Arabidopsis thaliana: one gene and its partner. Each later gene encodes a partner of the first gene's protein in a complex. Each region holds a gene or a part of one and is shown in the gene's direction. Other genes may lie near its edges.

The links.
Region 2: the proteins of TGA3 (region 1) and NPR1 are in contact, whole or in part, in a cryo-EM structure (PDB 7TAC), measured with the Arabidopsis thaliana proteins. Residues at the interface, in NP_564156.1 of Arabidopsis thaliana: His195, Ile196, Asp198, Glu263, Pro264, Thr266, Asp267, Gln268, Gln269, Thr351, Thr352, Arg353, Gln354, Arg357; in NP_176610.1 of Arabidopsis thaliana: Asn269 (codon at 3,123), Lys272 (codon at 3,132), Ser276 (codon at 3,144), Asp277 (codon at 3,147), Asp278 (codon at 3,150), Glu280 (codon at 3,156), Leu281 (codon at 3,159), Leu284 (codon at 3,168), Leu285 (codon at 3,171), Glu288 (codon at 3,180), His290 (codon at 3,186), Asn307 (codon at 3,237).

What each region holds. Positions count from the first base shown.
Region 1 is NC_003070.9:7,787,164-7,790,919, forward strand, and holds the start of TGA3 (transcription factor TGA3), read left to right. Parts: upstream 1-1,969; 5' UTR 1,970-2,487; coding exon 2,488-2,493; intron 2,494-2,825; coding exon 2,826-3,026; intron 3,027-3,112; coding exon 3,113-3,199; intron 3,200-3,334; coding exon 3,335-3,394; intron 3,395-3,469; coding exon 3,470-3,547; intron 3,548-3,633; coding exon 3,634-3,697; intron 3,698-3,756.
Region 2 is NC_003070.9:23,853,891-23,857,646, reverse strand, and holds the start of NPR1 (regulatory protein (NPR1)), read left to right. Parts: upstream 1-1,988; 5' UTR 1,989-2,239; coding exon 2,240-2,800; intron 2,801-2,879; coding exon 2,880-3,615; intron 3,616-3,723; coding exon 3,724-3,756. Other genes in the region: AT1G64290 (F-box protein-like protein), read left to right, coding at 1-253. UniProt on the Arabidopsis thaliana protein: Salicylic acid (SA)-binding substrate-specific adapter of an E3 ubiquitin-protein ligase complex (CUL3-RBX1-BTB) which mediates the ubiquitination and subsequent proteasomal degradation of target proteins.

The sequences.
Region 1 (3,756 bases):
GTTGATGCATGCAAAGAAGTAAGAAGAATGACATTCTTGTATGCGAAAATGATTATTTTCAATTAGTGACTGATATCTTTTGCAAGTCTAAAATAAATATAATATATTTTATTAACAATTCGTGAAAAGTCTTTTTATTTGATGGCAAAATACTACATGGTTGTTCTTTTTTTTTGTTGCAACCATGTAATGATTAATGGTGATATTGTTGGTTGGTTGGTAGTCGAATGTTATATGGTTATTATTTTTTTGGTTGCAACCATGTAGTGATTGATAGTGATACTGTTGGTTTGCTACATGGTTACTCCTTCTTTGGTTCCAACCATGTAGTGGTGGTTGATGGTGATATTGTTTGTTGGTAGTCGAATGCTACATGGTTGCTCCCTCTTTGGTTGCAACCATGTAGTGGTTGATGGTGATATTGTTCAGTCGATCATAAAATATATGATGCATGAAGAATATAAATTATTGAATTGTTTTTCCTTGCTAAAAAGTTAATAAAAAACAATTTATCCTAAATACTCTTATTTTTTTGTAATTATGTTGTTAAAGGGTCTAAATTTTTATATATCCTTTTATCTTATATAAATATATATATATATATATATATATATATTATTTTATTGTTTATATATATGTAAGTAAATGATTGTGTATAAACAAAATTAATACTGAAAAAGACTAATTTTTAAAATTTGTACCAAAATTCCAGTTCTATTGAGCCGGTTTTGGGTGTATATATAATAATATATTATAATATATAATAATATATTATAATATATCGTGTATTAAAATTTAAAGGTTTATTACGAAATTTTAGACTTAAGATTGAATTCTATCATCTAGATTATTAAAGTTAAATAACTTATTATGATCTATTATTTTTATCATTGTAGACACTCTTTTAAGTGGTAAAGTTTAGGTCTAAAATCTATACATGTTATATAACAAAATAAAGAAAACACCAAAATTATTAGGGTTAACGAAAATAATATGTGACGTTACAGAAAAGAAACTTGCGCATTTTTAAAAAAAAAAAGTTGTACAAGGCGAGAAGCCTTAAAAAGCGGCACAGAGACTTCTGTAGATTTTTTCTCACGTGCACTTGCCATGTGTTGAATATTCGACAAATTTTATGGGCTTTACTCTAAGCCCAACTTTTCCTCTTTAGGCCTTTCTGCGCTGTTGCGTCAAAAAGACAAAAACTTAATAGATTTAAGAAAATCAAAATGATTCATTTTAGTTTCGGTATTTATCCTTTTGCATGTCATTGATCAATACGTTTTGAATCATATTTATAAAGATTGAAAACTATAGTATATGAAATCTTTATTAAAGCCAAACCAAAAGCCCCACTTATTTTACGTATTTGTCTCTGTCGAAACGCAGATTTTATCAGACAAGTGGCACCAAACTAACTAAAGAATCAATATTGTATTAGGCAAAAGAAGAAAAAGATAACAAAATTAATCATTTTCTTAGAGTTGGGTAGGTCACTAGAGGCCCAATTATTACTCACTAAGCTAAGGAGGAGTACTTAAGTTAAAAGATGCCACTGCATAGCACTGAGACCCTCCAAATAAAGCGAATAAAAATTAATAAATTGATTAAAAGTATTAATCTTCCACTCTTGTCCCACAAAATGCGACCTAATTTCTTGGAAAAGTTTATTCAATTTCTGAATAACAAATAATTCACAGTTATTCAAATATTTATACAAATAAATTATCAGCTATATTTAAAATCGTTACTAAAAAATATATTTAACCAATCGGTAGTAATCTCGTGGTACAAATATCAATTATCCATTTTCAGATCAAATCATTACTATAACTATTTTAATTTAAAAACTATATATATATATATATATTATATATCAACTTTTTATAATGTGAATCATAAGTCGACTATTAAGTTTTGATATATGATATTGTATGTTTTTTTCTAACAAAATCATAAACAAATCACATCTTATATATATGAGATTCAGATTCTCTATGTTAAAAAATAAAAATTACCGGAATATTCCCCTCAAGCATCTGACGTGTCGGCCGACGATGAAGAATCCAGGTCATCAAAAGGTGTAGTTTAGAAACAGAGGCGCACGATAAGGTCAACTTTTGGAATAGAGGAAAAGACTCAACCTTTTTTATCATCTCTCTCGATTTGTTTTTCTCCCGGTGGTGATGCTTTTGTCGTTTCATCGTTCGTTTACTTCAACTTGCTTATTATTCTACGCTCATGGACTAATCAAAGCCATGAGGAAAAAAAAAAAAGCAACAACACAAAATATATGTATAAAAAAATAAATATCTCTGCTTTTTTTTTTCAATGATGGGTACGCTTCACCTCTAAGTTTTGACCAAAGTTTTTCTTCATTTCTCTCTTCTCTCTTGTGGTCACCGTTTGATCGGAATATTCCTTTTAGAATGCCAAGATTCATTCTTCATCTCTCGAGCTCCTCATGAATTTCTTCTCTGCTTATCAATGGAGGTTGGTTTTTGTTTCTCATGTTATCTTTTCTTGCTTTGTGAAGTCCTTAAATTTTCCAATTTTGGTTTTTAGTTGTTGCAACTTTCTAGTTTCATGGGTATTACTCTATTTGGCTATGTTTCTTCAAAAGGCTCTGTTTTGGAGAGCTGGGTTTTCTAAAGTTTCAACCTTTATTGCTAAAACTGAAACTATAACTACTTGTTTATTGTGTGTGTTAGTAAGCAATGCAATTTTAGAGATATGGACTGGATCTATATATCTATTGAAAGCTGAGCTAGAGAATCTGTTTCTTGAATTCAATAAGCTTGAGTCTGTAAATTGTTGATTTACAGATGATGAGCTCTTCTTCTTCTACTACTCAAGTTGTATCATTCAGAGACATGGGGATGTATGAACCATTTCAACAGTTATCTGGTTGGGAGAGTCCTTTCAAATCAGATATCAACAATATTACTAGTAATCAGAATAACAATCAGAGTTCTTCAACAACACTTGAGGTTGATGCTAGACCAGAAGCAGATGATAACAATAGAGTGAGTTATTGTTTATTCCTGGATCATGCTTTAGAATGATTTATAAGTGTTGTTTGTTTGGTGATTGATGGTTAATTATGTTGCAGGTGAATTATACTTCTGTGTATAATAACTCTCTTGAAGCAGAACCGTCGAGTAATAATGATCAGGACGAAGACCGGATCAATGATAAGGTAAGGCTTTAGCATTTTAAGGCTACTTATACCTTTTGCTTCGAAGACTTCATAAACTCCTCCTTCTCCATTTTAATCTTTAGAGGAAGAGACACGGCGTGATGACATGAATTGTTGTTCCTTCTCTATGAACAGATGAAACGGCGTTTGGCTCAGAACCGAGAAGCTGCTCGCAAAAGTCGTTTGAGAAAGAAGGTAACCTTGGTGGGATTTTTTCTTGTGTTAATGATAAAAAGGAAAGCTTATGCAAAGTTGTGTCTGTGCTTGTAGGCCCATGTTCAACAGTTAGAAGAAAGCCGGTTGAAGTTGTCACAGCTCGAGCAGGAACTTGTAAGAGCTAGGCAGCAGGTTAGCTCAAGCTTGTTTATTTGTTGTGTGTTCATCAAACTTTATCTGATTCATTCTGACTCAGTGATTCTTCTGGTTTGTATTAGGGATTATGCGTACGCAATTCTTCAGATACTAGTTATCTAGGACCAGCTGGGAATATGAACTCAGGTTGGTGTTTATATCACTAAATAAGCATATGTTAGCATTGCTTTATCTCTTAATCCTCA
Region 2 (3,756 bases), about 16 Mb from region 1:
TTTTGAAAAGTCGTGGGTTAAAGTGAAAGATATTAAAAGCATTGGAGTAGATTTGATTACGTGGACTCCAAGCAACGACGTTGTATTGTTTCGTAGTAGTGATCGTGGTTGCCTCTACAACATAAACGCAGAGAAGTTGAATTTAGTTTATGCAAAAAAAGAGGGATCTGATTGTTCTTTCGTTTGTTTTCCGTTTTGTTCTGATTACGAGAGGGTTGATCTGAACGGAAGAAGCAACGGGCCGACACTTTAAAAAAAAAATAAAAAAAATGGGCCGACAAATGCAAACGTAGTTGACAAGGATCTCAAGTCTCAAGTCTCAATTGGCTCGCTCATTGTGGGGCATAAATATATCTAGTGATGTTTAATTGTTTTTTATAAGGTAAAAAGGAATATTGAATTTTGTTTCTTAGGTTTATGTAATAATACCAAACATTGTTTTATGAATATTTAATCTGATTTTTTGGCTAGTTATTTTATTATATCAAGGGTTCCTGTTTATAGTTGAAAACAGTTACTGTATAGAAAATAGTGTCCCAATTTTCTCTCTTAAATAATATATTAGTTAATAAAAGATATTTTAATATATTAGATATACAATAATATCTAAAGCAACACATATTTAGACACAACACGTAATATCTTACTATTGTTTACATATATTTATAGCTTACCAATATAACCCGTATCTATGTTTTATAAGCTTTTATACAATATATGTACGGTATGCTGTCCACGTATATATATTCTCCAAAAAAAACGCATGGTACACAAAATTTATTAAATATTTGGCAATTGGGTGTTTATCTAAAGTTTATCACAATATTTATCAACTATAATAGATGGTAGAAGATAAAAAAATTATATCAGATTGATTCAATTAAATTTTATAATATATCATTTTAAAAAATTAATTAAAAGAAAACTATTTCATAAAATTGTTCAAAAGATAATTAGTAAAATTAATTAAATATGTGATGCTATTGAGTTATAGAGAGTTATTGTAAATTTACTTAAAATCATACAAATCTTATCCTAATTTAACTTATCATTTAAGAAATACAAAAGTAAAAAACGCGGAAAGCAATAATTTATTTACCTTATTATAACTCCTATATAAAGTACTCTGTTTATTCAACATAATCTTACGTTGTTGTATTCATAGGCATCTTTAACCTATCTTTTCATTTTCTGATCTCGATCGTTTTCGATCCAACAAAATGAGTCTACCGGTGAGGAACCAAGAGGTGATTATGCAGATTCCTTCTTCTTCTCAGTTTCCAGCAACATCGAGTCCGGAAAACACCAATCAAGTGAAGGATGAGCCAAATTTGTTTAGACGTGTTATGAATTTGCTTTTACGTCGTAGTTATTGAAAAAGCTGATTTATCGCATGATTCAGAACGAGAAGTTGAAGGCAAATAACTAAAGAAGTCTTTTATATGTATACAATAATTGTTTTTAAATCAAATCCTAATTAAAAAAATATATTCATTATGACTTTCATGTTTTTAATGTAATTTATTCCTATATCTATAATGATTTTGTTGTGAAGAGCGTTTTCATTTGCTATAGAACAAGGAGAATAGTTCCAGGAAATATTCGACTTGATTTAATTATAGTGTAAACATGCTGAACACTGAAAATTACTTTTTCAATAAACGAAAAATATAATATACATTACAAAACTTATGTGAATAAAGCATGAAACTTAATATACGTTCCCTTTATCATTTTACTTCAAAGAAAATAAACAGAAATGTAACTTTCACATGTAAATCTAATTCTTAAATTTAAAAAATAATATTTATATATTTATATGAAAATAACGAACCGGATGAAAAATAAATTTTATATATTTATATCATCTCCAAATCTAGTTTGGTTCAGGGGCTTACCGAACCGGATTGAACTTCTCATATACAAAAATTAGCAACACAAAATGTCTCCGGTATAAATACTAACATTTATAACCCGAACCGGTTTAGCTTCCTGTTATATCTTTTTAAAAAAGATCTCTGACAAAGATTCCTTTCCTGGAAATTTACCGGTTTTGGTGAAATGTAAACCGTGGGACGAGGATGCTTCTTCATATCTCACCACCACTCTCGTTGACTTGACTTGGCTCTGCTCGTCAATGGTTATCTTCGATCTTTAACCAAATCCAGTTGATAAGGTCTCTTCGTTGATTAGCAGAGATCTCTTTAATTTGTGAATTTCAATTCATCGGAACCTGTTGATGGACACCACCATTGATGGATTCGCCGATTCTTATGAAATCAGCAGCACTAGTTTCGTCGCTACCGATAACACCGACTCCTCTATTGTTTATCTGGCCGCCGAACAAGTACTCACCGGACCTGATGTATCTGCTCTGCAATTGCTCTCCAACAGCTTCGAATCCGTCTTTGACTCGCCGGATGATTTCTACAGCGACGCTAAGCTTGTTCTCTCCGACGGCCGGGAAGTTTCTTTCCACCGGTGCGTTTTGTCAGCGAGAAGCTCTTTCTTCAAGAGCGCTTTAGCCGCCGCTAAGAAGGAGAAAGACTCCAACAACACCGCCGCCGTGAAGCTCGAGCTTAAGGAGATTGCCAAGGATTACGAAGTCGGTTTCGATTCGGTTGTGACTGTTTTGGCTTATGTTTACAGCAGCAGAGTGAGACCGCCGCCTAAAGGAGTTTCTGAATGCGCAGACGAGAATTGCTGCCACGTGGCTTGCCGGCCGGCGGTGGATTTCATGTTGGAGGTTCTCTATTTGGCTTTCATCTTCAAGATCCCTGAATTAATTACTCTCTATCAGGTAAAACACCATCTGCATTAAGCTATGGTTACACATTCATGAATATGTTCTTACTTGAGTACTTGTATTTGTATTTCAGAGGCACTTATTGGACGTTGTAGACAAAGTTGTTATAGAGGACACATTGGTTATACTCAAGCTTGCTAATATATGTGGTAAAGCTTGTATGAAGCTATTGGATAGATGTAAAGAGATTATTGTCAAGTCTAATGTAGATATGGTTAGTCTTGAAAAGTCATTGCCGGAAGAGCTTGTTAAAGAGATAATTGATAGACGTAAAGAGCTTGGTTTGGAGGTACCTAAAGTAAAGAAACATGTCTCGAATGTACATAAGGCACTTGACTCGGATGATATTGAGTTAGTCAAGTTGCTTTTGAAAGAGGATCACACCAATCTAGATGATGCGTGTGCTCTTCATTTCGCTGTTGCATATTGCAATGTGAAGACCGCAACAGATCTTTTAAAACTTGATCTTGCCGATGTCAACCATAGGAATCCGAGGGGATATACGGTGCTTCATGTTGCTGCGATGCGGAAGGAGCCACAATTGATACTATCTCTATTGGAAAAAGGTGCAAGTGCATCAGAAGCAACTTTGGAAGGTAGAACCGCACTCATGATCGCAAAACAAGCCACTATGGCGGTTGAATGTAATAATATCCCGGAGCAATGCAAGCATTCTCTCAAAGGCCGACTATGTGTAGAAATACTAGAGCAAGAAGACAAACGAGAACAAATTCCTAGAGATGTTCCTCCCTCTTTTGCAGTGGCGGCCGATGAATTGAAGATGACGCTGCTCGATCTTGAAAATAGAGGTATCTATCAAGTCTTATTTCTTATATGTTTGAATTAAATTTATGTCCTCTCTATTAGGAAACTGAGTGAACTAATGATAACTATTCTTTGTGTCGTCCACTGTTTAGTTGCACTTGCTCAACGTCTTTTTCCAACGGAAG